2 linked regions of the Styela clava genome follow. The protein of the gene in region 1 interacts with the protein of each later gene in a pairwise test. Links are inferred from orthologs where the notes say so. Each region holds a gene or a part of one and is shown on either strand. Other genes may lie near its edges.

Region 1 (15,817 bases):
CGAAGTTTTCATATTTCTAGTATACCCTTGCGTTCACATCAGAGACAGCTGTTGAATACATTAAAGGATAATTTCAAAACCAAATCAATTTTATTCTAAGTTTAATCCTCTGCCTTGGATTTGGTCTTCCAATTCACCGCTTGTAAATTAACCGTGCCTGTTTAAAGTGAACGATAACCGAGATGCAGATATTTATTGAAATGATACTTGAGTTTCTCATGCTTTTCCATGGTGTTCGTGTTATTTTAGTATTAGATAGATAAACCTAGCAAATTTACGATTGCGTGAACCCTGAATGTTGATTTAAAATAGCGACTTCCTTAATGATTTCGATTGTGTCATTCCTTAATTATTACTGCCCAAATGCTTCAAAATTTAACAATTGTAATCATTTTCGATGATAATAGACGCAACAATTCGTAAACGAGTCAGTGTGCATTATTACAACGAAATTCACGATTGATTTTACGTTCTACTCTTGGCTCAACGGCCATTCATGGTCGAGTAAAATGTTTACATATTCGAAACATTACTTGGCCAAGGATGGAAGGGATCACTAAATAGCTAATACAAAGTGCTTTAAAGGGAGTAGGGCATGACATTTCTTATCTGGTTACAACTTCATGAGTGTTCCTCACACAAGTAACTCATACCAGCTTTTGAAAAAACTTTTTGTCATTTTTAAATCCATGCTATTTATATAACTAGAGTTTTCTAACGACCTAAAATCGCCTTTTTCACAATGAAACGCCGGAAAGTCATTTTAACATTTAATTTTAATTAACTTTATGTTCGGTAATGCAAGAAATGGCTAAAGACATGTCACCAATCATGCGGAGTTTAAAATCTGGGAAATTTATTTTAAATACCTAATCTGGTTCGACGTTTCTAAATTTACGGAACGTCGGTACATTTTTTTGCAAAATATGGAATTGAAACGATACGTTAAGTGCAACCATAGGCATATGACACCATAACGCAAAGACAACGACTTTTCAAATTTGACGTTTTTTTCTGATAGCGAGCGCCGTTGGGAAATCTCACACAATTCACGGTTGAGTTAGAGACGCGCGAGTTAGGTGTCCAAGCAGAGCGCCGCAGGTCACGCGGTACCGGATATTCAAATGGTAAAATGCCATTCGAATATTTTATTATTCGAATATTTTGCCCATCCCCAGTTGTTACGTGTGTTGTTGTTACGATGACTTGGTATTTTAAATACGCGCTTAAGGTTTGTTGCTATTTTACCTTGCGTTGTTTGTGTGCGGCTCTTCATAACTTTGAGGTTTGAAATGCGGCTCTGGGACTAAAAAAGTTTGAGAACCACTGGTTTACACTATGCTGATTTAGACCCATCAGTTGATTTAGTCCAGGGGTCACCAACCTTTTCGAGGCCGAGGCCTACTTTCTGGTTACAGATTAAGCTGCGGGCTACCAATTCAATGTACACTTCTAAAAAAGTCAGTTTGCTCGATTAAGCTTCATATTGATAATTACTGGTATTTAGTCAAGTAGAGTCACTGATAGGATTAGTGAATTCTTCAGAAAATCAAACAATTATCACAACGTAGCAAATAATTTTCTATCAATGACACTTGCATTTCAAAATTGAGTTGTACTATCAAATATTGCAGAGTGTTGTACTCCGGCGTGTAACTTGACACTGTAACTCTGACAAGTCTTGCAGATTTTCCTTAGTGGAGCGTGTTCCGTATTTGTTCCTGGTGGAGTGAGTCGCGGCGGTGTGGCCCACCGTGCTAAGCGTTAGGTTCACACGTTAGAATTCCATGCAGAGATATTTATTTGCGAGAGGATTGTTCTACTCCTCGCCGCCGTTGGGTAGTTCACGTAACCGCTGGTCGGTTACGGCTTCCTTTGCCACCAAGTCCATGCTTCCGAAAACAAATAACTAACTAATCCCATACCCGACATGGAATGGTAACCAGACGAGAGGCCGCGGCTCGCCACATGGTTAAGCCGTCTTATCGGCTATCTTCTCCCCTGGGATAAATATGTAAATCCCATCCTATCCTGAGTTTATGTCAAAAATGTTGATTCACAAAGATAGGTTGAACCAAACAATGGCCTCGTAAAATATAATTGCTGTATGATTGGAATCGCGAGCTTTGCTGCCCGTACTGCGCTGACCAGTGGATAGTTAGCGCGGTAAATTGCGTGACAAGATGTAAAATATCTCTTCGCTTTGCCGTCGCTACAATCTCCCCACAAATGAGACACACGCAGGCTGTTTTCATGGTGATAAAAATATATCCACCTCCCATTCATCGTGAAAATGATGAGTCAGGTTGATGGTTACAATAATTAATATAGTGACATTCCCAGTTTCCATATAAGTGTGATTAATACAAGAATAGCGGGACAAAATTTAATTGATGTAGCTTCCTCATAAGTGCCGTTATTAATCTTAGTTTGGAACGGACCTGCGGGCGACTCCCATAGTCTTCGCGGGCGACTTGGTGCCCGCGGGCAACGCGTTGGTGATCCCTGATTTAGTCAGTCTCACAAATGTCTTTTCCCATCAAAAGTTGTATTTTCGGTTGCTATCGTATGATGATTTCACTTCGGCATGGTGGAGGGTTTATTGAAACTAAGCAGTAATTATTGAACGATAGAACTAGAATGTACACCCGACACAATGCAGAGAAGCTGACGTCTATATAAAATGTTTATAAAAATCAAAAGACCAAATAAAAAGAAATTTAGGGCAGACAGTAATATTTCATAATTCATTCTATACAATGTACGGTGCCGCATTAGTATGTGATATACCTGTATATTTCTACTTAAACTTAGGATATACCTCAAAACATTCTCCCTATGGATTACTATTGAAAAAAGTTGCTTAATGAATGCTCAATTTGAGATCGTTTTGCAGTGTTTCCGATTATAAACTGGTTTACATTTTTAAACCATCATTTTTAAGAAGAAAAAAAATATCCAACCACGTGCCACTTACAAGTACTGTCGTACCAATAGCAAATTTTAGTCTAGTCTACCGCAGCGCTCGTGAGACTAAATTTTGATTACTGTAACCAAACTAAAGCTACTCGAAAGACATTATGACAATTAAGTTATTCAATCTACAACTATATTCTGGAAACATACCGGTAGCTAAAAACTGACACGCAAAACTATAGAAACGAGGGAATGGCTTATTGTTGCACACTAAATCTTGTAATTCGTAAGATTTTAACAATAGACACTAGAATAGTCATAAAAAGCCAATCGGAAATTCTGACGCCAAACGTGTTTTGAAAAGCCAGAGTTGTTAAATTTGGCGTTAAAAAAGTCAATATGGCAATCCTGTGCAGCAGCACGTTGATCATGCGTTGCTAAAACCACTGTTGACATGATATGACGCCTTATCGTATTAACCATTTTATCGTATTAACCATTAACCTGATTTTCTAAGTATTATGGCATAAATCATTCATTTTGTATAATGTATGATATAATTAACGGATTTTTGCGTATGTCCGCTTTTCAAAATATTTAAAGTTTTCGGTCACATTCCAGAGACATTCTGCTTTGTTTTTAGTAGGGCCGAAAGTGGATACACTGCGATGGTATGTGAAAAATGGCGGAGCTTCGCTGGTGTATTGGGCTGCCTTTCATTCAGGCTTATCGTTAGTCTTACATTTTTTGGACGAATAAACTGGGAAAAGTGATGCACTTTTGGTGTAGAGTTTGATAGGTTTCAACAATAAGCGTTTCTACTTTACGGACGATAAGATATGGACCCCACGACCTACCGTACTGACCTAGGGTAACCGTACCGGTACCCTTACTTACTGCTGTACTGGTAATGCGCTACCGTAACTGACAGACTGACACAACGTCCAGACGTCACAGTTTGCCTGATATTGGTTTAGTCGGACAGTGTTAGGGCAAATGGAGGGGTTTACAGATATATTGCCCCTCGAAATTTTCCGATCACTAGGTCTGTAGGTAGGGTAGCACAAAATGCAGAAATGGTTCACCGGCGCGGCGGTGTGGCTCAACGGGCTAAGCGTTAGGAATACGCTCGCCACCGCACCTCTAATTCCTCTGCGTGGGTTCGCAGGTTCGAATCCCATGCAGGGATGGTTATGTGCGAGAGGATTGCTGGACTCCTCGCCGTCGTTGGGTGGTTCACGTAACCGCTGGTCGGTTACGGCTTCCTCCACTACCGGCAGACCGGTACCAGTACCAAGTCCATGCTTCCGAAAACAAACAATATAACTAATCCCATACCCGACTTGGAGTGGAAACCGGACGACAGGCCGTGGTTCGCCATATGGTTCGCCTTTCCTCTCCCCCGGGATAAATATGTAAATCCTATCCTTTGACTTTCAGTCGCATTGGTAGTTGTTTGAAAATAGGTATAAGTTATATAACTTACACATACCGTAGATTTACAGATATTTAATCACCACCTGACTACAATAAGGACCAACGCACTTCACATCGTTGCGTAAATGGCAGATGTTCAACCCATGTGGAGTCGATGAGGACAATCGTAAGATTTACGGCGCGGTCGTTTCAAGTTGTTTCCGTTATTTACTAAACGCTGTCTTATAACTTTTGATCGTCTATTTTACCGATCATAGTTTTTCATCACCTAATAGGGGAAAATAACAAAATCATGTAAAAGTTGATCAAAATTTAGTCTAAAACACGAGGAATAATTTGTCATATCACTTATAATACAAAGATTATTAACATCTGGACGTTATTGTTCTGATAGCGCTTATACACTTAACATTGTATATATTCGCCAGATGAATATTATCGGGTCTTACTACTTACTGAATACAGCGCGAAACACCGCAAAGAGCGCGAAACAGCGCAAAAGAGCGCGAAACAGCGCAAAAGAGCGCGAAACAGCGCAAAACAGAGGAAACCAGCGCGAAACAGAAGGAAACCAGCGCAAAACAGAGGGAAACAGCGCAAAACAGGAGACGCAGTCATTACCACCTCCTGCCACGAAAGAACCACGGCGCCTCTCGCCATGGTTTTATGGCGCTATTTCCGGCATATTTACAAGGTTATGTACCGGATTATAGGTCATCATGCGAAATTTTATCTACCTTTTTGGTGCTCCAGAAGTATGTGCAGCAATATGTCGCACAACCTGAATCCGCTACACACACACACACACACATATACTATTTTCAGGTTGTGCGCCATCTTGGTGCACATACTTCTGGAGGTCCCTTTTTATCTAACCCTAACCCTAAAGCCAACCATATCCATGTGGAAAATGTTCTAAATTATGGTACCCAAAATGTGTCACCAGCAGGGGCAGACCTGCCATTACAGCATTACTGGCTACATACGTTGGTTTGTGTTTTTAATTTGCTGCCGTGGTACTCAAACTCAAAACAAGGTGCCCCGAACTCACTGCAAAATTTTTTTCTGCTTCACACTGTTTCCCTCTGTTTTGCGCTCTTTCGCGCTGTTTTGCGCTGTTTCCACACTGTTTCCCTCTGTTTTGCGCTGTTTCGCGCTGTTTTGCGCTGTTTCGCGCTGTTTTGCGCTCTTTGCGGTGTTTCGCGCTGTATTCAGTAAGTAGTAAGACCGAATATTATCTAGCATGTGTGTGGTCGATCGCATCATCAATTAGATCGATTTAGACAGTCGTGCATTAATTACTCTAAATTACTTTATTTATTGCTGGTTATGTTATTTATATCTACTCGGTATTATTTTGATACAACAGACTATGGCTCCCACAATTTTTCTATTTGAACTATGCCTCCATCCTAAATGGGTGGAGGAGTTTGAAATTGTCAAATCGAACGAGAACGTTTTTCGTGAATTTTCATTTTTAACATTTGACGCCCTGAATTTAAGATCCACAGAAAACTATTCATGTTTATATTCAACCGATTTTGATCCAATCAAACCAAAAGAAATTTGTTATTTTCAAATCTACGCTAAAGTTCCAGCACCCCAATGCGATACTGTGACTGTGACAAGTACAACGTATACGAAAAATACTTTTATGTATACTGATGTCTCTCACAGTTAATTTTTCATTTGCATTGATGTCCCCCTCTATCGAATGGCGGTATTTGGACGACTATAGCGTGGGTAGAATTCACGATTTGAGGCGCTTGAAAACGATTTGTCATTTTTTGACTAAACGTGATTTTTTTTGTTAAAAAATAAATTGGGCCGTACATAGCCTATTAAAGGACTTACTATTGAAACTGTAAGAAGCATAACATGGCGTAATTTAATCAAGATATAAATAATTGAAAATTTCATCTGGAGTTGCAAGGCATTGGAAGTTACCTACTTTTACAGTTTAATACCTCAAACCATTCTTCCATAAGTTGTCAGAAAAGTCCGCGGGACGAAATCTAGGTACTAATATGAATTTTAATATCAATTAAAAAAATATACAAAATAATGCACATGCATAAGTGCATATATATATTTCACATGAGCCCTATCTCTTGTTTAACTTTAGTATATTATAAATCATAGTCTACAAGAGTTTCAAGCGATTTCATATTTTCATGATAATGGCTATTATAGTGTGGTTATATCAATGCTGTATATCGGTATATGAATATTTTCTGTTGAAATTAGTAGTATGCGTTTAATATTATTTTCCCTTATTTCATCAACAGATTAGAAATATGTGGACAAAGCAATTCGCATTTTTTTTAGCATTTAGACTACTATAAACAGTGAGAAATTTAGTGCGAGTCCTCCTCAAGTTTCCCTGTAAAACAATCCATAAATAACATTGATTACTGTATATTATATTATTCAATTTGAAGCGCTCGAATCAATTTCAAATTTATTAGATTTTGTAGAAATGATCATACATAATTAAGAGCACTCAACGTTTCCTGGCATAGGAAATTATACTTGTATGAAGATATCCTATTAAATTGACTACAGCAGTTTAATAATAAAATGACAAGTTATTAGCAATTCTGGAAACTGAATTGTCAATTTTACTGTCAACGTCTTGATGTATTTCAAAATACAGAGCATGCATATGAATAACACAGGTTGAATGATTACAATTTACAACGGTGTCACTTTGGTATGCGATCACACTTGCTAACTTAATCGCAATCGCATGAAGACATTCTCAATAAATTCAGTTCCTATCAACTTATATGGGTCATTATCAATTACTTATTCTATTATAAGATAAAGTACGGTATATAGTACTTTAAAATCTATATTGAATGCTATGTTGACAGAAGTCATAAATGTATTACAATATGCAAAGCAGGTTGTAACAAGGGTTGTTAAAGCAGATGTATGACAGCAAGGAGTTCTGCAATCATTCGCCTCACAGAATTTACGGTACATTACAGAATTAATTTGAAGTCTGTCGTGAATGATTATCTCCGGTGCTGTAGCATGTTTGATGTTTCTTTTCACTAATTATAATTTTTGTTTCACTTCCACCATTAATGTGCTATTAATATTGGATAGGGATATATAGGAATTGATCATACATGTAGATTTAGGCAAAATCATTTTGTTGTATGAATGTTTCCATGAACTTTCATAAAAGAAATCATTTTCTCAATTTAAGATCTCATAGAATGGTAAAGTCTACCATCTTACTTTTTTTTACAAATGTCTACCTACCCTCAGAAGTACCTACTCTATTGCAAGACCCCTTTAGAGTCACAGTCTGTTCCGATAAAAGCCACTTTTTCAGTTGCCTGGCTGAGTAGCCTATGATATATACACCTGACTTTTTACTTTAAACTAGTTATTGCTGTAACGTTCCATAAAAAAATTATTTTTATATCACTTCATTTTATGTAGTTATACATATTGAATTAACAAATGTTTGATATAATGTAATGAGTATGCAATTGACGTGTAAAAATGCCTTGAAATCCTATAGAAGAATCTTCATATCAACACCCATATTAGGATATGACGTCTAGACAAGGGAACTACTCTGGGAGCGATGGCTCTGGAAGGAGTAAAGCGAATCGTCCAGCTTCATTTCCAAATAATAATTTAAGTTCAGTATCGTTCAAAGACTTGTCAAAAAGTTTTGGAAAACTAAAAGTACAAGGAGTTGAGAAAGAGGGAAGAAAAGGAAAAAGACCAAGTTTAACGGATTCCGAAGCCTCTGATAATGCGATAGCTTCAGTTAAATCCAGCCGGTAAATTAAATTTTTCTTTTATATTTGTAAGATTTATTTTATGATAAATTTGCAATCCTTATTTTCCTGCCTCATCTGCTGCTGAATCTTCGCACAATTTTGTGTGTTTGTGTTCAGAAGTTTATTTTACCTATTTTTAATTCTGTCATTTCATATACTTTGTTTGCATAGTTTAACTCTGCTAAACAATTTATTTTCATCATGATTTTTTCATGTCATTAACCTAAATCATATTTAAATTTAAAAAAATCAAACATAATTTTTCCTTTGTCTGAATTGTAGAAAAAGCAATGCTCTTAATTAATAAATAACACAAGTTTCAGCAACAAAGAAGAATTAATTATTTTATCATCAGTTATTATACCAGTTACTGGTGGCTGGACATAAGTTGTTTGTCATTAGCATTAGATCAGCATATTAGTTTTTCTGTAAAATATTATGTTATTTAGAAATAGAGGTGCTGGAGGAGGAGTAGTCACCACTCGAAAAGAGGATAGAAGCCATCATGCCCGTGCTCTTCGGGAAATCAAAGATAGTCTTGCTCCTTACGGTCCTTCAGATATCAGCGCAGAATCTGTCCAGAATTTGGCTTTGGAATTGAATGTAAATGTTGATCAGGTCAGTACTTTATAATATAATTTATATATATGTAATTTATAATATTTTCATGAGGCCTTTAAATTGGACACATGTTGTCAATTAGGCACAGTAATGCATTGGTTTTGTGGAAAAATATTAATATTTCGATGCAACAGGCTGCCGACTGCCAGTGTAATTCAGCTTTTTTATTGAGTTGTACCTTATGTCGGCAAAATATATATTTTTCTATTGTGATTACTGATTGATTTGAAAGAAGTCATTTGTGTGATAATGAGTACTGTATTTAGTATTAATCTTCCATATTCATTATCTATATATTGTTGGTTGGAAAATGCATTTAAAATGAAAAATTACAATTGATTTTTTGTGTTAAAAAAGGCTTTCAATATTTTGTTCATCCAACTTCTATCCACAATTTATTATCAATTTTATATTAAGAAATATGAACAAATAAATTGTATAATAAAGATATGATATTGAACAATAGATTATTATTTTGATATAGGCATCCCTATAGTTTCCAACTTCTGCCATGGTGTACTCTTTTTATATAATCTTTCATTATGTATATAACATTACACCAGTATCAACACAAACACCTTATTTTTACATCCCTGCTAATGCAAAAAAATGTTGATGTGATTTTTGAAATAAAAGAATATATAGCCAACTGCAAACAAAAGAAATACCACAATTTTTATCTATAAATATCATATGGGCCTTATATAATTGTGTCTCATAACTATGTTCAATCTTTGGCCATTCTTGAATAATTGTAAGTGAGGATTGGACTGGTTTCAGGCAGTAGATAAATAAAATAAAGATAGTAATTACAAAAGTATGTGTGGAATGTCACCCCATTGTTTACACAATCTGCCAGCAGACCTCTATAAAAGCATGTAGTAAAATTTTTTGTCTGTGGCTCTTCACAATCTCAATAAACTGGTATCGTAAATCATTATTATGTTGGAACTTGAATAAATTGAGCTTTGTGTTGTGCATTTATCTATAAAAATTTGGCCTCTGCAACATTCCTAGATTCCATTATCGATACTTATATTCTGTATTATTAAATGTGATTAATTTGTGTAATACAGATAATTAAAAATACAGTATTGGAGTTTGAAATAGTATTTAGGTTGCATATAGTTTATTGTTTTATGATTGGAAAAATTATTTTTCATTATAATTGACTGATTTTGGGGCAAACCTATAAAATATCTTTTATTTTTATATAAATATAATTTTTTTTATTCAGAATTTAAAATCTGGATAATATTATTATTTGTGATCATCTATATATGGTACACAATTTTTCACAAATATTGATTGCACAAAAAGCAGCAATTATCAGTCATTTTGAAGTATTGAATTGAAGGCCAATTATTGACTAAGTTTACAAACTATCTGATTGGTTGTAAAAAAATTACCGTAGGATACAAAAAATGCAATTAGGAATTAGATAGATCATGCTTTGTGTTATTATTTTCATATATGTTGCAAGATTAAATAAAGGATATCTCTATTTAACGCTGCTTGGCATTGAAGAATATTTACTTTTTACAGTCTGTTGCTGAAAATGTGGCGAAAAACTGCACAACACTTGAGGTTGCCAGAGAAAAACTGATTCTGATATTGCGTCGTAAAATGCAAAATGAACAATTCCTTCATCCCACCAATAATAATAACAATACTGGAATTCCTCCACCTATGTATCAGACAGATTACAATACAAGTAAGAAATGGAATTTTCATTCAAAATATTTTTCCCCTTTTATTCAACTTTTTATAATTCTAGTGTAATATTAATTCATAAAATTTAAATGTTTGTAAAATTGTTTATAATCATAACTTATTTGTTTTAGGTGACTACCACGTGCCTCAGCCGAACATGCATTTGCAGCGCGATCCGTACAGTCGAACGCATCGTGGCAGTCCAGATGGAGCTAGCCTCAGAGCAGACAGTCCGGTCGGAGTTCATGGCCACAATGGACTTCAAAGCAAAATTAGCCAAGTGAACAACTTGCGCCATAAAATCACTGCTTCTGAGTATGAATTATTGTCGAGTAAGAATCAGTTGGATCCAACAAAACAATTGCATAGGAAGTATGTGCCACTACCAGACAGGACACCTGCCACAGAGCCGCCTGCTTATCCTGGGAATCCAGCAACTTACATCAATTCTCCATATTCACGTCAAAGTTCCGCGAGTGATAATGGTTATGGTAATTATGTCAGAATTGTTACCAGATTCCAAAATTAAGGTTGAAATACAAATTGTGAACAAAAATTATTGGGATTAAAAAGTGGATATTGGTTGTTTTGATCTGAGACTGCTTTTTATTCCACGTCAATTTGTCCTACGTCCAAATAAAAATCATCTAAATTAAAATTTATTCTGTTTTTGAATCTTATTATTTGATAAGGTATATATGCAGTGCAATTGAAAACTGGAAATGTTTTAACAAAATGTGTTCTTACTTTCATCATCAATCTAAAGACATTGCAAATAGCAGCAATGCCAGTGGCAATAATACTTAGAAATTTGAAAAATTGCGAAATCCATGGCCGAATAATTTTGAATTCGGATAGTTATGATTTGCATTGAATTTTGATTTTCATATCCTATATAGATATGTTTTCAAGCAGAATGGCTATTCGTGAAATTTTACTCCCAAATAGCAGAAAATGTTTTTCTGTTGCATCAACTCCGTTGTAAGAGGTTGCTAAAGTCTCAAATAAATTTCTCTTTATTTATAGACATGGGCATGAATTCACTTCCACGCCCAAATCATCTCATGACGAATCCAACTAACACATCGGATGTTCAGTATCGTCGTGGACAAACACCTCCTCCGATGTCATATGACAACAGGTTAGTTGTCATAGTGACTCGATTACCTCAATTAGTCCACCCTATCATATATGTAATGGTATTTGACAACCATAATAAGGAGTTTATCTATAATAACTAAGATCACTGGGTGATTTTTTGGAGGTTTTCTCCAGCAAACTTGCATAGTTTTTATTTTAAATCAGATAAGGGCATATTGTTTGAATGTAAGGTTGCACGAGAGCTTTTTGTCGGTTATAAGATAAAATGGAGAATATTGAAATTTGGGGGAAAATTTTCATTCGAAATTTTCACAAATAAATAGGTGTTTTTCAAGCTAGTATCTAATAATAGTTTGCTAAACACTGCTAAACTATAAAAAAAAGTTACAGGAATTCAAAAATAAAAATGTTTGTTTTTGTCATTTTATCAAAAGAGCATTTTCAGGTTTGCCCCTCATGGTTAAAGCCCTCTATTTGTCAATCAGTCTTCTTGTGGTCTTTCTGAAGAATTTTCTGGGTTTTTTTTTCAGGGCTATCCCAAACAATCCCAATCCTCCAGTGAATGCAGGAATTGTTCCTGGACATGTACAACAAATCGTTCAGCGAATGTCACCTTCTACTCCGAGTCAGGAGGCAATGAATTTTATGCGGCCTCCAACAACAAGACAGAATCCAAATCGCCAGCCACAAAATGTGCCGCAAATGTCTTCGACAAGTGTTATGAGAGACAACCATAAACCCATTATCAAAGGTTTGTAAATAAAATAAAATTTGGGTTTTATTAGTAAGTTTTTGCTTAGATTTTACATAGGTGTACTGTAGTCCATAATTCATTCTAGCCAATTACTTTACAGGTAAAGATGTAGTAACACCAGTTTTGGGATGCTTTTTTGCATAAAGATAAGACTTTGATTTGACATAGATTATGATCTGGTAGTAAATTAAGAGTGAAGTCAATTTTTTGTTAATATGTATTAGTAGTGCATGAAGTTTTCTAAGTTTTCAAAGCACATTTCATTCAACGCTAATGTGGAATTATAATTCAACATAATTCGAACGACATTCCTGCGCATGTTGTTTTTTATTAAAATAATTGATCTTATTGAAACCACTATCTTTCTTCTGTTTTTCAGGACCCTCATCTGCCTCCAATATGTATCAATCATCAGCTGGATCTGGGGTAAACCCAGCCATGGCACGATACACCCCGAATCACCCACCACCCAGCTATACAGTAGCGCAGCAATTTCGTAACAAACAGAAGGAGCTTGACCAACCAACTTATACACACTCTGGTAAATCTACTGTATTTTTGCTCCCAAATATGTCCCGATTCCAAAAATGCATTCTTTATCATAACATTTCATAATATGTTTATACTCGAAATTGTCTCTCCCAGAGTTATTATCAAGCCAAACAATTAACATTTGTCATGCAATATATTTGGTTTGCAGATATTTTATATTTCTTATTTTTATACAGAATATTCATTCCTCCAATCTCCAAAATCTATATTATCATTTTTTATAATATGGAAAATTTGAAGAAATCATTGTGAATTTATAGAAATTTGTAATGTGTAATAGTTGAGAACTTTGGACAAACATTGTTTTTATAATTTTATTTTTATTTTTCAGATAATTCATCAAGGTATCCAGAATTGTCTAAATCTCAACAAGCACAAAACCAGATGTTGAATATTAATCCAACAAATAGGTATGTTTATTATGTTATTTGTTTAAACTTTTAATTTAAAGTTGTGATGAGGAATTTGAGCGATGAGGTTTCACTCCAGATTATGGGCTAACTCAGACTACTTTGAATTCCACTAACTCTTTACTTGAAGTTTTTTAACCGGAGAATTTCTTTCTCAGTATGGTTGATTTAATCCCAATTTCTGGTATTTTCTGCTCGAAATAATTTCTTTTTGCTCTATTAAGCTGAAAAATCATTATATGTGCCATTACCATATGCAATACAAATCGTGATTTTACTGTAAATACGGAATTCCACCTATATGTAGAGAGAACACTTAAAACAGGGGTCGGCAACCTCCGGCCCGCGACGCTTCACTGAATTATAGTAACACAACAGCTGTAACGTCTGTAACGTAACAGAATTTATTGTGAGACACATGTAGACTAAACTATATTATAATCTAACAAGTATAAAATTGACAAATACTCGTTTAATGAACTTCTAATTTAATTATAATTAGACAAATAGCAACAAAACGCTAAAAACTAAAACGTTTTTAAACCTACAAAAACAGGGGAAGTCCGTCACCTTATCAAGACCAGCACCAACAATGGACAAATCAAATAAATGGAGCTTTGATGGGAAATATCAATTACTCTACGTATCAACAACAGACATCCGGTCATTCATCCAGTCCTCAGTCTTCCATATCATCGGGATACCAGGTTTGAAATTGCTCTTTACCTACACGAACGAGTTTTTTATTAATTTTGGTTGGTAGTTCAATTTTCGGGACAACCAATATCAAAATATCTACTATTGTAACAATCAAATTTAAATGTAATACAATCGTACAATTATTAATCGATTATTTTGAATTTATTCAATGAGTTAGAATTTAAAAATGCAGAAACCTTGAATGAACAATAATTTGATTGATTTCCCTTTTTTTTCACAATTTCCATAAATTTAATGCAGGCATTTTTAGTCATATTGGGGAACTTTATGTGCTCAAAATGAAAATTTTTAAATGAAATGTTTGTGAATTATCCCTGGAATATAGAATTCAAGTTATCGAGTATATATTGATTTGAATATTTGATTCATTGTGTGCACCCTTGTTATGTATAATACTGATATAGGCCTATCATATATATTTTTACGATACCAGTCGTGTTCCATAATTATTATAATATTTATAATAATAGTGTGTTTCGAAAAGAATACTACAATCACACTATGGATAGCCCTATTACCTGGATAGGGCCTATTTCCATGTATCTTAAGTTCAGAGATATGATATTGGCACACCTCTTTTTGGATGAATTTGAGTCAATAAGATCAAAAATCGAATCTCTCAGATTAATTTATGTCGAATATTAGTATAATCTTAACCAGTGTTCTTCAAACTTTTCTCATCATGTCCCACTTGGCACTGCAAAAATTTTTTCGCAACCCTTTAGAACCAATGTGAGCTGGCATATTCTTGCACAAAAGAACGTCTCTTGGCACTGTCTCGGTTTTGGGTCTCAGTACTAGTTCCAAATCTTTTCAAATTTGATCAATATTTTGTTTTACATAAGTTAGTGTCAAAAAGATTTTATACACAGTGGAGGCAAAAGGCAGAAGAGTAAGTATGGCTCGTTCTGACAATAATGGGTACCGCGACCCCTATTGGGACCTCCAGTTAGATAGCCCTGATCCAGACAATATATATATTTCCAAAGTTGTTTTTTAAATTGAGTAAATTCCTTTTTAATTTCTGTTTTTTTTTCTTTGCAGATGGTGGGTGGAGAACCGTGTCATGCTCAATACCAAACGCTTGCCAGTCCGCCTATATTACGACCTATCTCAAGTCAGCCTGTCATGAAGTTGCAACCTATGACAGCCGAAGTACCTATGAATTGTGAGAGTAAGGATTTTTTTTTTTAGTTTTTGAATTGTGAACGTAATCAATGTATTTATATAAATTTATTTCTGTGTAATGTAATTACAATTTACATCCATAATATTTTTGATTTTACGAGTCATATTTTTGGCTTGCGTAGTAATGGGGGATTTGCCAACTTTGTTGGCATCACGTTTTTTAGTTTAATTGGCTAAATTGTGTCCAAATCGGGGGATGTTTAAGTCTTTTAAAACCAGTAGCCACCCTACTACAGTGTTACTGCTTTTATAGAGCTTTAGGATGAGAAATACTTATTATGAAACTTGATTAAAATTGGATTGCATTCAGCGATAACTTAAATTTGCGGATTTTCTGATTTTTTGAACTGTCTTCATATCTCAGTTATGTTTATGAATGCTGTATGCCGGGGGTGGGCACACCACGGCTCGCGAGCCGCATGCAGCTCGCCAGACTTTTTGTGCGGCTCTTCTCGCTAACATAAATTATTATCCAAATTTTAACTAAGAGAAAAACTTTAATGTGAATTTTTTTAATTTATTAAAAGTCGTAAAGAAGTTTTCATCAATGATTGAGACAAATTATGTTTTAGTATGAAAATCGCTGTAGCGTTGAATTT
Region 2 (16,062 bases), on another chromosome or scaffold:
TGGAAAATACGAAAATAGGAATCCAAAATTAATATTAATCGCGAGTTTGCCACACAATTTATGTCCACAGATTGCCGTGATATTGTGCCGAATATAATTAGTTTTTGATTCTTATTTTGTACTCACGAAAAATTGTCACAAGTCGGAAAAAGAATTTATACTTTATCCCGCTCTTGGGAACTGATTTGGATAACGGTTGCCATTGGTTTGTATTTAAAGGTATTGAACTATTTACTAAGATGATTTTGTGCTGCGCAAAATATTCGAATCTAATAAATTTAAGTTGTAAAGCGACAATCATTTTGGACAACCTATTAACCCGAATGTTGAAATAATTTTGAAATGTGATAAGTAATACACTGTACGTCCACTGGTTATTTCACAGCTGTGTTTTCCTGTCGTGTTCTGCTGAATCGGCAAAACGAAAGGGTCACAAATCGCTTTATCTCAATGGCCTAGAAAAGCAACTTATTAGCCGGGAAATATGGTAATTGTCAATTTTTCGACGTAATGGAAATGAATTTGTAAATTAGAAGCCTAGTAGACACATTTCGCCAATGTCCACCCACGCAAACGTGCAAATGTGTCGCAACGCTATGCGACGTAAGGTCGCACAGAATATAAACAATCAAAGTGCCGATTCTATTTCATCGTCATTACAATACGTAAGACAGCGTAAAAAGTCGTTTGAAGATTCCCGTAAAACGAAACACCACGTTTACGGCGAAAAGTGTCTACTATTCGAATTATTCGAAAATCAGCCAAAAAGGTATTCGAATACTTTGATATTCGAATACATTCGAATATTCGATTCGTTTTGGACAACCCTGCTTGTGGCCCCCATTCAACGGCTCCACAGGCCCCCGATTGGAAACCACTGCACAAGGCCATGACACGCTGTTTTACCATGTTTGTGTTCTTCATAAGAAATGACAGTAATCAAATTAAAGGGAATCTTAGCATTGGTGGGCCGCGAGCCTGTGGGAGTAAAATAGGGAATTCAATCAAAAAAGGTTCAAACCAAATCCTATCATCCAAATGTTTTGAATTCAAATACTTTTGATATTCTGAATAGTCCACCTCCATTCCATTACTGTGAGTGAATTTTGCCTTATCATCAATGAGTTACTTAGAATTTTTGGCTTAATGCTTGTAGCAAATAAGATCCTATATTTGTAACCTACCATCTTTTGGTTTGTCCAACGTGTACCATAATTTGAATCGATCAGGATAAGACGCCACAAACTCTTCCAATTCTTCTCTGACTAGAATATCTTTCTCAGTCTGAAAAAATGAATGTGATAACTTAGAATTGGGTATTCGTTTCAATTGCAAATGTTATGATTACAGGGATAAGGATAACCAAAACCTAATTTAACAAGAGGATAACTTAGAATTGGGTATGCGTCTCAATCGCAAATGTTCTGGTGACAGGGATAAAGATAACCAAAACCTAATATAACAAGAGAGCTATGCTCAAATATATGGACATGTGGCAAATTCGGATTACGTCATGGCACACCGGAATATTTGAAATAAATAAAAGTAATTGCCTTCTAGCGAAAAATTTGATCTTTGAGCACTGAAAATTTTAAAGCGATTGGTCCAGTAATTAAAGAGAAAAGCGACTTTTTAAAAACATGTCAACGAACAAGAAGAGTGCCAGCATAAAATGCAAAACGATCGTTATGTCCACTGACGTGTCCAATAATGCATAGTTACTGCAGTTTTTATTCATGACTCTATAGTGACACCGTGTGTCCCATCACTAATTAGTTAAAAAGTCGCTAATTATACGACATAATTCATTCAAAATTAATAGGCTTCTAGTCCGAGATATGAGGAATGCAAATGCAAAATTTGGAGCAGATTCAACCTCGCCTTCGTGAGATATCGCGTTCATCTAACAGACAAACAAACAGACAAGTAACGAGAATATCGGTCAGAGACCGAAGACTTATCGATCGAAAGTTAGGGGATCCCCCAAAACAGCGCTCTTACTCCATAGTGACACCTTGTGTCCCATCACTAATTAATTAATAACTCGCTAATTATACAACATAATTCATCCAAAATCAATAGGCTTCTGGTACGACATATGATGAATGCACAAGCAAAATCTGGAGCAGATTCAATCTCGCTTTCGTGAGATATTGGGTTCATCTAACAGACAAGTAACGAGAATATCGGTCAGAGACCGAAGACTTATCGATCGAAAGTTAGGGGATCCCCCAAAACAGCGCTCTTACTCCATAGTGCACCTTTCTACTTCGCCTTTGTGAGATATCGCGTTCATCTAACAGACAAATACCTATCAACATACTTACCGATCTTAAGATCGATAAGTAATAACAGTCAGCGGGTCTGATCGAAGGCCAGAAAATGTAGGTTTCTAAGGGTCTTAAGGGTATAAAAAGCGTTTTAAGCTACAAAAAATGCTCTTTTTTACATTCAAAAAGTGTGTGTGTGGAAGGCAGGGGTTTCGCGACCCCCGTGGCCAAGTTCCTGACCGAGATGACCAGACTTTGTCTTTCTTTGCTGTCAGAGTCTCAACCTCTATAGGTCAGATTCATCAAATAGTAAGCAAGACCCTTTGTCCAGTTACCAACTGTATAACGAGAATATCGGTTGGAAACCGAAGACTTATCGATCGATAGTTAGGGGATCCCCCAAAACAGAAACTGCAGTTTCGATTCATCCGCTCTTGTAACTTGCGCACTGCGCATCGCACACACACACACACTCGGCGGGTCTCAAAATTCTCTCGCTTTACAAAAATCTAGATCACTATATCAATAATTGATTGATAACTCGCTAATTATACGACATAATTCGCCCAAAATCAATAGGCCTCTGGTCCGAGATAAGATGAATGCACATGCAAAATCTGGAGCAGATTCAATCTCGCTTTCGTGAGATATCGCGTGCATCTAACAGACAAACAGACATACATACAGACAGACAAATACCTATCAACATACTTAGCGATTAAAATCGATAAGTAAAAAAATAGTTCACCATTTACTTGTTCGAGATGGTTCCATTACATTTGAACCCACGTACATTTGAACCCGTAATTTGAACTCACAACAATTGCACCTGTATACTATTGCACCTATGGAAATTTTTTTGATTTTACGGATATTCGAACCCATACTAACCCTAACTTATGGATTTTAGCACCCTCATATAGATTGAACCCGCGGATATACGAATGCAAATGTATGGGTTCAAATTTACGTGAGTTCAAATGTGCTGTCACCGTTTAGAATGCATGGATGTTGCACAAAAATTGCATAAGCCTACCTGATTAGCAAACAGCAACCATAGCAAGCAGGAATCATCAGGATCTGTCAGACTTTGATGTACGATCTGTAACATTGGAGTAATCCCGGTTCCTCCTGCTATCATTCCAATCTAGAAGATAATTGACAAAAAATAAGACTTGAAGTTTCACATCCAATGTGACCTACATAGCACCATAACCACAAAGTGAAAATAAAGTTTAATAAACTAAAATCTTCCCCGGGACAGAAACATAGGAAGATTCATTTCAATGCTCAATCTAACATCGGGGGAAAGTGCACAAGTTTTCCTTTGTCCAAGAACCTGCGCAAAAAATATTAGGTAAGGAGTCCCTCATAATGAATAATGGTCCAGATTGTGCAAAGACATTAGAAGGGACAACAGTTTGGTTGGCAAGGTCATCCAGGTTTGAAGTAAGCAATCTGAAGATGATATTAGTCAATCACATGAGAGAGTATGATTTATGTTATCTAGCTAGCGTACCCTTGGGTGCGTCTGAAGGGGGTCATACTCATAGGGCTAGCTGCCCCGGCAGCAAATTGTACATGTGAGTCTGTTGCTTAGTTTGATGATTTAATTAACAATAATACAAACATTTCACTCTTACTTAACCCTTAATTTATTCATTCTTATGTATAACAACATCTATAATTTGTTTATCACCCGAATTATTTTGAAGTTAGGTATAAGGAGCATCATTACCAGAAGTTCGCCCAGGTAGCAGAAGAGTTTGCCACGTCCTTGAGCATACCTCATGCTAGTTGTGATATCTAGTGACTTGTTTTATTTTCAGTATAATAGTTGATAAAAACCTAGGAAACTACCAAAATGAGATTTTCTTGACGGTTTGTTTAATAGAACCTGAACCAGTTATGAAATGCCAGCATTTAAACAGTGCAAGTAAATCAGAATCTTACTTTTCGGACACTTTTTTTCATTGGCTCCGACTTTTTATCAGGTTTGATGGAAAACAAACCAGGTTTTTCATAAATAAGAAGCCCATTTGGCCCTCGAACATCAATTGTATCCCCGATGCGGAGACTTTCCAAATATTGAGACATTTTTCCTCCTTCTGGGAACTTGGGGTGAACATCTTTGAAATAAACCTATATCAGAAAAAATTTAAAAAAAATTTATTATAGAGAGAATGAGCTCAGAGCAAGGTTATTGGCACTAATTCGGAAGTAAGAAGGCTCTAAATTTCTGAGCAAAATTATTGTCAGTGGGCACTATAACTGTTTTATATTATATTCCCATGCGATACTCGACACTAACTGGTAACCAGATGAGAGGTCTCATGTGGAATACTGTATTGTGGCTCCCATTGTTTCATGTTGATTTTCAGCCTTGTCTACAAACATCGTCTATTCTCCGAGTTAATGACACAACAGTATGGTTCGTGACAGGATTGAGTCTCCAATCTCCATATCATCGATGTTACCTTATTGCAGTAAAGTAATAAAATTACAATTAACATTACCTTGACAACAAGATCCATGTGTCCCTTATCTTTATCAGATGTCACCGGGGTGTATGGCCTAATTATCAATTTTCCATTGATAACAGCTGATAAGTAGATATGCTGTCCGATAGGTAGACCAAGGATATGCTCTGATGATGGTAAAGTGAACACGAAACGCCTGTGGAAAGCGAATGGATTTTGTTATTTCGAGATCATGCAAGAAAGGGTGTCAGGTTCTTAGCCAGAGGGGGGAGGGGTTGAGGGTCAAAGCCAATCTTTTAAAATGAAAAAAAAAAAGATTTTCAAAGCATTTTTCTTCTGTATCATGCAGAGCCTTATTTCATAGCTTGAAAACCCTTAAAACCCAGAATATCCCTCCTGACCGGCTAGCAGATACGGTCTGACTTGGCAAGTATAAATCTCACATCCCTCCCCCTTATGATGTATGATACTTCCTGGCTATGCACCTGATTACAAAGACGAATTAAGAATATATTCTGTATCAGAACCTATTTCAGCACAAATAGAAGCTTAAAATTAACAATATTTGTTAGTCAAATGTCTTTTTCGTCATGTGAATACCTTGTATCATGAGAAACAATTTCTTTATCAGCCAATCTAAGTGGATATTTGACATCAGGATCCAGAAGTGTTATCTTTGGTTGATTTTTCTTTCGCTGCCAAATGAAGTATGCAACAGCACAAACAACTGAAATCCCCACAACTGAGAATCCTAGAAGACTCATCTGAATAAAGAACATAGATCAAAGTTACCCAATCAGGAAGGGATTTACATCTTTATCCCGAGGGAGCCGATAAGACAGTTTAACCATATCGCAAACCACGGCCTCTCATCCGGTTACCATTCCATGTCGGGTATGGGATTAGTTAGTTATTTGTTTTCAGAAGCATGGACTTGATGGCGGATGCAGGCGTAACCGACCAGCGGTTACGTAAACCACCCTACGGCGGTGAGGAGTTCAGAAATCCTCTCGCACATGACCATCCCCACATGGGATTCGAACCTGCGAACCCATGCAGAGTAATCAGAAGTGCGTGGCGAGCGTATTCCTAACGCTTAGCACGATGAGCCACACCGCCACGCCATTCTTGGGCAGAAATCGGCTCGGCGCGGCGGTGTGGCTCAACAGGCTAAGCGTTAGGAATACGCTCGCCACCGCACCTCTAATCACTCTGCGTGGGTTCGCAGGTTCGAATCCCATGCAGGGATGGTTATGTGCGAGAGGATTGCTGGACTCCTCGCCGTCGTTGGGTGGTTCACGTAACCGCTGGTCGGTTACGGCTTCCTCCACCACCAAGTCCATGCTTCCGAAAACAAACAATACAGTAAAACTAATCCCATACTCGACTTGGAATGGTAACCGGACGAGAGGCCGTGGTTCGCCATATGGATGAGCCGTCTTATCGGCTTTCCTCTCCCCCGGGATAAATATGTAAATCCTATCCTATCCTAAATTTTGCTTAGAATTTGCTGTCCTAGTATTACTACTAATATTCTTCATTTCTTTATTAATATCATAATTGATATCGCTTACTTATTCTACTACCAAAACTGTATGAAAGTATGAGTGCGACTTGAGCATAACACAGAGCAGCAGAGGCAGGGTTTTTATGTTTAGTTTTTATGAGTAACTAGGAAGGAAAAAAAACATTAAAAATAGGTGAAAGGAGGAATTTAATGAAAAAGATTGGTATTCACTGACATAGATGGTTGGTAAATAGGTTCATTTCTATATTTTTAAAGCCAGGTTATTCTAACTGGGGAGGAATTCCCCCACTAAGAAGATTTTATTGTCTTACAGGAAGAATATCTACTTTGAATTTTGGTGTAATTTTCAGACATCAGGACATGGAATAATCAAAACAGCAAAAGGATTTATGAAAGGGCCTCACATTCACAAATACAGAATTGCAAAAACTGCATATCAGAACGATAATTGCAGATACAAATCTTTTTAATATGATCTAATTTCCGAATGCAAAACTGAAAAGAAAGAAACCATTTCCCTATTTATCTTGCTTAATCAATTAACTGGCAAAAGTCTACGGTATACCGGTACCAGCCATTTAAAATGTAATAGATATATCGCTCACTGTTGGAGAAGGCTTCATACGGCAATCCTGATTAGATGTGTCGAAAAAAAACGAACACTCAGTACGGTAGGTCACGTTCGCATCAAGCAAATACAAGAACCGCTGCAATGCAAACACCAACGAAGTTATCGAGTCAAAATTTCAAATTGCAGTGCGTTGCGTCACTTTCTAATAAAATAAATAGATAAGATATCAATCTTTAATATTAGCCACTCTTTTAGTTATTGCACAATGAATTTAATACCGGTACGAGTAATTGTGTGAAGAAAATGGATAAAGTCGTTGAAGAATGATAGTTGTGCAAAAGTTATGATAGGTTCGAAGGTCACGAGTTCAGGTCGGGTCAATCTCGTCTGAAAGTTACTCAAGTATATCAGCGATTTATTTTATTTCTGGAAATTTTCAGGTTTCCTCTTGCTGTCTTGACTCTTTTGCGTTTGTTTTCACGTCGTTATGGTTTTTAGCCTGCTGATAAGTTTTGAATTTTAGAGATATAATTTTTTAATTTTGTGATTTGTTTCAAATCATATCGTATTGAATGATAGCTAGATAAGATGTTGTCTGACATTGATCAGGTGATGAACTTGCTGACCTGTAGGCCTACTGCTGTACTGTGTCCATAAACAAACTTTCACACTTGCCGTCGTCTTGTGTTTTAGTTTCGCTGATAATGAGACAATATTGTAATAATTCAAAGGCTAGATAGATAGAGAATTACTACCGGTAGGCTACCGGTATTTCAGCAACTTTCAGTAAGTTTCCTTTTTAACTGTCTTTTTTTTAATTAAGAAATGTGTAATGTCTGAATATATTCTATAAAGTTAAACATATAGCCTAATTGCATTTCTGACCGTCATATATTTTAAGAACACCACTCGTCAAAATATAAATAAAGTGCCGTACCGGTACGGTACCGGTATCACAGCAATCAAACAGACAATAACACGGTGATCGCAAATTGGTCGACAAAGATATTATCGACGTATTTGAAATGTGCACCCCCTATTCCCCCTCCTTTAAATGTTGGAACGCAAAACTTTAAAGATGGTTAAAAGAAACACAACTCTACCCACCTGCTGACCTGCCAAGTTTCATCTTTTTATCTTTTAAATTTGTATAGATTTTCAAGCTTTTTGAAGGAACAATGGGTACCGGTAGTTGGCGATATGAAAAAAGGGTTCGTTTTTTTTTCTTCGGGCGGGTTTTCGATCGTAACTTTTTTGTTTGTGGATGCATTTTAGTGTAATTTCCCAGAGCTACGAGGGACAAGTGGACGAAAGCGCGTGAGGAATATCGTCATGGTTCGTTAGTTTGATGGCCGCAAATAGGTCGTGGCCGCAAAGTGGGTAAGCCATCCTATTTATGATAGTTGACATGAACCCATGATAATACTATAATACAATTCTGAGGTTGATAAGACATAGCAGGTTACTGCTGTGCTGACAGATTGAAGTTAAAACTGCAGGATGTTGACCGAACCAGGTCAGTAAGTCTATTTTTTTTCCTATTCCTATTTTTTTCATTTTACTTTGATCGCTTCAACTCCAGTAGCTCTGTGGTCTAACAGTTGAATCTAAACTATGTTGGTGTTCTATTTGATAGATCTCTGTATAAGTCTCTATTCCAGTATTTCCACCATTTTTTCAGAGTCTGTGAAAATAACATTTGTTAATTTTAGTTTAAATAATATGGCTTCTTGATAATCGCTTCACAATTATTCCTGAATTGATGTCACTAACATCATTTATAAGAGATGCCGTTCCCACTCTTCAAGAAAAAGAAAAGCATCAACATCAGAGTATCCACTTTGGATGCGGATTTAGAATTTACGTAAGAAGCACAATATGGTACTCCAGAAGTATGCACACCAAGATGTCGCACAACCTGACCTAACCAGTACACACATACTATGTTCAGGTTGTGCGCCATCTTGGTGCGCATACTTCTTGGGGTCCCACAATATTATTTTACTAATTATTCACCCTATCAATCATTTGGTTAAATTGTTGGTGTTGGAAAATTCGACTTTACTGGACAACTAACGAACCAAGCGATTCCAAATATTCAAAACTTAAAGATGGTAGCCGTTAGAACCTTAATGAAATTTATATTTTTTTCAAACTTATGAGTCATTTTGCTGCTTCATTTTAAATGATGCGGACATTTTTTAATAAAATATGAGAACACTTTATTTCATCATAAGATCATTATTGTCAGCTGTTTTATTTTGCAAACTTTGAATGCTAAGATTGCTTAGTAAATTTGAACTTTTTGAGTAAGTTGTAAAGTTTGTAACAATTTCGACTTATTTTATTACCATTGAATATCTGAACTTATCTCAATCCTATTGAAATATATTCTTTTAGGGTCTCAAATCAAGTGAAAGCTCAAGTTGTATTTGATTTGATATGTCGGACAATCGGTCTGAGAGAAACTTGGTATTTTGGTCTCGCATTTCATGATGTCAAGAAGAGGTTTACATGGATAAAACTTGACAAAAAGGTGACAAGAAGCTTTCTTTTTTTATCGAGATTGTTGAGGAAGAGCTACAATTCAATACTCCCGAAGTATGTAAACCGGAACGTAGTATGTGTACCAGGTTTAGGGTTAGGATATAATTTCAGGTACAAATACCACAGGAGTCACTTGGCTATTCCCCGAACTCGTTGAAATAAACTTATTGTCTAACCCTAACCTGGTACACACACTACGTTTCAGTGTCTGCCATCTGGGCACATACTTGGGGAGTACTTACAATTCACTTTGAAGTGACAGCATTGACTTATTCCTAAACCACCATAGAAATTTTCACAATGAGAGAACATATAAATTATTATTATTTATATAAATTCACACAGATGAAATTTGATAGGTAAAGACGTAAAGTGTTTATTTTCATACAGATCTATTTTTGGTTTTATTGGATTGCAGCTAACTTTAAAATGATGTCTTCTGTGCCAAAATCCACTTTGAAAAATTGCCTCAATTGTTGAGTATTCACTGGGCAAAAACCGAATAAAAATAAGTCCATGTATCGATAACAAATAACTAGTTATGAAAAATTGCCATACTCCATATGGAATGGTAATCGAACGATAGTCCATGGACGAGAGATTTTCAGAGATTTATTTTCTTAACATTCTCATGAGGGATATTATTACCAATCATTGTTTACTATTTGTTCGTCATTCGTTTACTAATCCATTCTTTATATTCAGCTTCTGAATCATGCAATTCCAAAACCAGTGAACGGCGACAAACTTGAGTTGAAGTTTCTCGCGAAGTTTTATCCTGAGTCAATGGAAGATGAACTTATACAAGAGGTCACGAGACACCTGTTCTTTCTGCAGGTAATATAGTGTTATTGGATAAGACCTATGGATCGTGTTAGTGTTTTGTTGTTATTCTTATTTGTTTTTTTCCTCAATAAAAAATCACTTCTCTTCGGATACTGGACCAATTGCTTTGAAATTTCCAGTGGTTGTAGATTGATTTTTTTGCCAGAAAGCTATTTCGGTACTTCCATTTATTTCAAATATACCGGTGAGCTGCATGGAATTCATTTTTTGTGTGCTATGATGTCATCCGAATTTGCCACTATGTGTGGCTACATGTCCATATATTTGAGCATAGCTCTTTTGTTTTGCTCTAATCATGGTTCTATTGCTTAATGCTATATTGTTTCACTTGATTGTAGAACATTTGCACTCGACTCTGACTCAAAATTCACTGCCATGTAAAAAAAATCATTTTGGCTTTATCTCTTGGTTCTTTGTTGATAAAAATTCATCTCCAACTTCTTTTTTAGCTTTTTATTTAATTAATTATGACTATAGTTTAGTATTAATTAACTAATTAGTATTATCAATTGTCCATTTATTAATCTATTAATACTATAAGGCTGAGCGAGCTAAGCTAAGACTTTTCATTGTGAGAATTTTTTAATTTCTTGTGTATATCGAAAAACTATTTTTTTTGTGTGGCTGTGCTAGATGGTTGGTTCTAGATATTCCATATTCATAAATATTTTAACATAACTAATATCGTAGTGTATCCAGTTTACCACTCTGTTTAGATACTTCCCCGTTCAGCATTCCCTTCCTAATTTATTTTTCTAATGTTGGACTATATTTACAGATTCAGCATTTAATATTGTCTGAAGATCTTTACTGCCCTCCAGAGGCATCTGTACTGCTTGCCTCGTTCGCTGTTCAAGCAAAGGTGCGTGTTTTCATTGATATATTGATAGATTTTGTATTTTGTTGCATCGGTGAACATTTATTCTCAATTTGGCATAGGATAGGATAAGTTGGTTTAGATCAGGATTTCTCAAATTTTCGATTTCACTGAGCCCATGAAGAGGTTGACTCTTATTTATGGAGCCCACAATATATTTATTAAAATAAACACAAACAAAAAATACATTGTTATTCTTTGAATCATGTTTTTGAGAAACTTATGAATAAAGTCATATTTGAACATCCGCCTTCTTGCCAAATTTCAACGCTACAGTTGTCAAATTTTATTGATGCCGTTTTTGCTTCTTTGGATAGTTATTAAAGTTAGCCAAAAGTCTCACGGAACCTCGGGCTTCGTTTGCAGCACTTTGAGAAAGTCCCATCTCTCTGCAAACCTTTCAGAGAGAGATGAGACAATAACTTAACCTAACCTAACCGAAACCAAGAAAAATATCAGATAACAGAATAGTATCTCATAATTTGGTTTCAAATTCAAGACAGTCAATAGCTTGTATCAAAATTTCCAAGTCTTTGTTTCCACTTCCACAGTGTACTAGAAGTAATTAATGTTTGATGAATTCAATATGTCATGCCATACAGGGTTTGAGTCATTTGACTTAGGAATGCCCAAAATGGATATTCAAATAGTACATGATTGACTTTTTTCAATACAGTATGGTGATTATGATCCTGAAATCCATGCACCAGGATTCGTTGAGATTCAGGAATTATTACCAAAACGTGTCATTGACCAATTTCAAATGTCTGAGACGATGTGGGAGGAGAAAATAACTTCATGGTAAGTTTTTAACTTCAAATTTTTTTGTTTTGAATTTATTGTGGGTGCAATTGCCTCCACTCCGTTCTCATTTCGAGCTTGCAACACATAGCATGATACAAAATTGTACATAAACTATTATAACACGATGGAATGTTTGATATCGCCAGTTACACTTTTCTCCTCTCAATGTTAATTTTAGAAGATTTATTCATTTTGTTTAACTGTGGCTAGGTAAAAAAGAAATTTTATATATTGTAATTGTATCGCTTGTAATTTATATTTCATGACATACTTCGAACCTCAAAACAAACCCTGGCTATTCCCCTGAGTATGAAGCTGGTATGTTCGAAAAAAAAATGTAGTTTTTATTTTTAGTCATAATAAAACGTGTATGTGTATGATTATTCCTAATTCCCATGGACAGAAGTAAAATGCCTTATTAAAAAAATTACTACGGAAGTTCAGATTAGCAAAACTTTATTTCCAACCCCCATTATCGATGTCCGAACTAGTTATCTCCTAATCACAGGTACACAGAACATAGAGGTTTGACACGAGATGAAGCTGAACTAGAATATTTGAAGATAGCACAAGATCTTGAGATGTGTGGAGTTTCATATTTTAGTATAAAGGTTGGATTTCTTATTTTACAGTAACGACAAAATCTGTGATAGATGCTGATTAATATTTGAAAACTATTTTATACGCTCTAAATTGCAAAAAACGCTACTGGAGGATGAATACGATTAATTACAGCGCAAACTGCTCATGAATTTATTGCCGTGCCACCGAGATCTCAAAATATACACTGAGATGTGTGCACGATGCCCGATTTTCTTATAAACACTAAAAACGATATTTGAATAATAAATTCGTTTTGGACATTCCTGGTGGCCGCTTTATCCATGCATTTTCTCTAATGAAATTTATATGAAACATAACAAAGAAAATATATATTTTTTTAGAATCGCAAAGGAACATCACTATGGCTTGGAATAAATGCTGTATCCGTATCAGTATACGAAAAAGAAAACCAACTGCACCCAATCGTATCGTTTCAATGGAGCGAGTTATCGGACATGTTATTTAACGATAATAAGTTCACAATAAAACAGAATCCATCTTCTCGTTCCGCAACGCTTCGTCGAACGCAGTCTACCAGTGCAGAAGAGTCATCACCCGCTGATATGATCGATATGAACAAAAATGATTTCATTTTTTTCACTGATGAACCGGGGATAAATAAATTGGTGAGTTGCATGTGTTCCAGTAATTTTATTGCGAGGAAAAAAAAACGTGCAGGGTGATCAGAGGTGCGGTGGCGAGCCTATTTCTAACGCTTAGCATGATTCGCCACAACGGCGAGCCGATTATAAATCATTTTGAATGCGAGAGAGAGAGATACTAATTTATTTTCAAGTATATCAAAAATGTACAGATTACAATGGATACAAAAAGCAATCATGAAATAAAATCAGGGGGGCCGGCAAGACTACAAGGTCAACGATGTCGTCCGACCCCTAAAAAAAATTGGTGCTCCAGAAGTATGCACACCAAGATGTCGCACAACCTAAATCCAACCCGATACACACATACTATGTTCAGGTTGTGCGCCATATTGGTGCGCATATTTCTGGAGGTTCTACTGTAATATAAAAATGTGGATTATTCTAGTATAGTCAACAGAAACTTAAGTAAACCTCTGATCAGAAGTCTAATTTTATGCATTCGGATATTTGATTCATTTTTAAACATTCTTTCTATACAAAAAGTCATTTACCGGTACTTCTTTTTACATTTCAAGATCTTAGAACTCTGCAGAGGAAACCATGATCTTTTCATGCAGAGACGTAAAGTTGACAGCATGGAGATTCAACAGATGAAGAGCCAGGCACAAGAAGAAAAAGCAAGAAAACAGGTCAGTTTTTTCTAATACAGGTTTATTCAAACCAAGCTTAGGGGTTTATGCCAGGGGTATCCAACCTTTGTCCCACAAGGCGAAATTGTATACTTTGAGGAGAAGCGCCAGTTTTAAATGGTGTTCATTTAGTTCTTTGTATCTGGCCCTCTTGTATGAAAGGTTGTACATTCCTGGTTTAGGCATTAGACTTGACCGTGGTGGAACTGCAGGGTAAAATCTTGGGGTACAAATCCTATTCCAACCACCCAAGGTGTAATAAATAGGGCAATGTTGAAATATTCCATTCTTACATATTAGTTGCATCTTGTGAAGTGCCTAGTTTAGAGCACTCATAATCACTTCACACAAGTAAAATAATTCTTGTGCTTAAGAATCACATGTTTCTCTTGAGAGTTTAGTAGAGGCTGCTATAGCTAATCCGTCCTAATTGCAATCATTAGGAATGCTTAATTACTTAAATCCCACCACAAGTTTAATTGTCTCATTATTTTTATTATTGGATAATTGTATCCTATTAGTGTGAGAGATTAGGTATATTTGAGTTGGAAAATGAATTGAGTTACCCTTAGAGAGAGAGATTTTATTTTTGGTCAACCAAAATAAAAGAACAATTATCGTAGTAATTAAATATAATAACACATGATGATTTAGTTTGATATAAACAGGCGGGAGTGATACGACCGGGCGGTCATCAAAGTCAACTCCCCCCTTATTATTAAGTTCAAGATTTAAAATTTCAGATGACTAGATGTTAAGGTATAACATTTTAGAATTTGAATTGTTTTAACATAATGGGATTTGGAATCCACCAATCAAAATAACACAATGAATACCGCTGGAGTTATAAACAGGGGGGCACGCACCATTAAAGGTTGGAAACCACTGATCTCACATTTCTGGTGCTTTTATTTTCTAGATGGAAAGAGCGAGACTTCTCAGGGAAAAAGATGAACGGGAGAAAATACTCATGGAGAAGGAAGAATTGGAACGAAAGTTAGTTTTACATTTTCAGAAATTGAAATCATTAGCTAGATGTAACTATCAGTAGAGGGTATGCGAGACCAACTCCCAATTTTTCCTCAATGTTATTGCGCTAGTGGATTCGTATGAGTATAATGCAAGGATGCTGTAGCAAGAATTGTTGTGAACTGCTCGTCTCGTGAGGGGGTGTCTTCACCCCTTTAAATGAACTTCTACACCTTAATGTGGGGCGCGCCCCACCGTTTTTAACCATCTGTCTAAAAAATAATGTCCATTAACTATCTAATAACAATCAACCATATAAATAGCCTAGTATGGTGAAGTCTTATCCAGACCCTTGTTTTAAGCAAAATCAAAAATATCGCATTTTTTAAAACGTTTTTTTTTCATTCGAAGGCTGAAAGAAATGCAAGATGAGAGTAAAGCTGCCCTAGATGCTTTGGTAAGAATCATCACACAGAATTGCACTAAATATATATATATATATTTTCAAAAGATGTTGAATTCAACAATAAATTTGGGAACAATTAATGTTGCTCCAGAAGTGTGTGTACCAATATGGAGGTCACTAATTGTGTTCGCCTACTTTACATCAAGTTGTGTAAAGGGACTGAAACCTATATGGGCAGGGATATATTCACTTGACCAACACAGACAGTCTCCGAACTCGTAATAGAACTAAAATAAGGAAAATCTGAATAAACTTATGGCCCAACCCTAACCTGGTACACATACTCCGGGAGTACCAAATTAATTGTCCTTCTTTGAGATTGAATAGTGCTAGGAAATAGCCACCCATAAAGTTTCCCACATAAATATAACCCTAAGCAGCTCCTCCTTTATGAATGGCTGCTTATACCAAGCCAGAGTGAATATGTGAATATGCTTCATAAAAATAGCTAAATATCTGATTCACTCTAAATATCCCGAGTTGTAACTGTTAATTCAGTTCAAAAGCATTTTTAATAATTGTCCAGAACAACAACTAAAGTAACCCATAAGCAATACTAACTGATCTGTGCCCCAGACTATAGAGAGCACCTGGCTGCTTCACTTTCACTGCTGATTGGTCATGATTATTCATCTGTGACTGAAGACATCACAGGTCGTGCTTAGCCATCTGGGAAAATGCTAGTTGCCAGAAATACAATAAAGATACAGTTAACATTATCATCCTTTAGAGTCGTTCAGAAGAAACTGCGGAATTATTGGCAGAAAAAGCAAAGGTAGCAGAAGAGGAAGCAATGCTGCTAAAAAG

What was found.
Region 2: the proteins of uncharacterized protein LOC120339853 (region 1) and merlin-like interact in binary tests that used the Drosophila melanogaster proteins (3 or more experiments, as listed by UniProt). The link is inferred for Styela clava from reciprocal best matches to the Drosophila melanogaster genes wts and Mer.

What each region holds. Positions count from the first base shown.
Region 1 is NC_135250.1:10,606,499-10,622,315, reverse strand, and holds the start of uncharacterized protein LOC120339853, read left to right. Parts: upstream 1-7,805; 5' UTR 7,806-7,923; coding exon 7,924-8,159; intron 8,160-8,608; coding exon 8,609-8,777; intron 8,778-10,325; coding exon 10,326-10,494; intron 10,495-10,624; coding exon 10,625-10,984; intron 10,985-11,519; coding exon 11,520-11,634; intron 11,635-12,124; coding exon 12,125-12,345; intron 12,346-12,727; coding exon 12,728-12,889; intron 12,890-13,231; coding exon 13,232-13,310; intron 13,311-13,866; coding exon 13,867-14,017; intron 14,018-15,074; coding exon 15,075-15,204; intron 15,205-15,817. UniProt on the Drosophila melanogaster protein: Negative regulator of Yorkie (Yki) in the Hippo/SWH (Sav/Wts/Hpo) signaling pathway that plays a pivotal role in organ size control and tumor suppression by restricting proliferation and promoting apoptosis.
Region 2 is NC_135252.1:22,930,008-22,946,069, reverse strand, and holds the start of merlin-like, read left to right. Parts: upstream 1-8,504; 5' UTR 8,505-8,636; coding exon 8,637-8,713; intron 8,714-9,249; coding exon 9,250-9,385; intron 9,386-10,101; coding exon 10,102-10,233; intron 10,234-11,020; coding exon 11,021-11,104; intron 11,105-11,795; coding exon 11,796-11,920; intron 11,921-12,431; coding exon 12,432-12,534; intron 12,535-12,867; coding exon 12,868-13,152; intron 13,153-13,706; coding exon 13,707-13,820; intron 13,821-14,739; coding exon 14,740-14,816; intron 14,817-15,200; coding exon 15,201-15,246; intron 15,247-15,985; coding exon 15,986-16,062. Other genes in the region: NADH-cytochrome b5 reductase 3-like, read right to left, coding at 1,185-1,284, 3,307-3,417, 4,224-4,412, 4,787-4,946, 5,351-5,514, 6,884-6,901. UniProt on the Drosophila melanogaster protein: Regulator of the Hippo/SWH (Sav/Wts/Hpo) signaling pathway, a signaling pathway that plays a pivotal role in organ size control and tumor suppression by restricting proliferation and promoting apoptosis.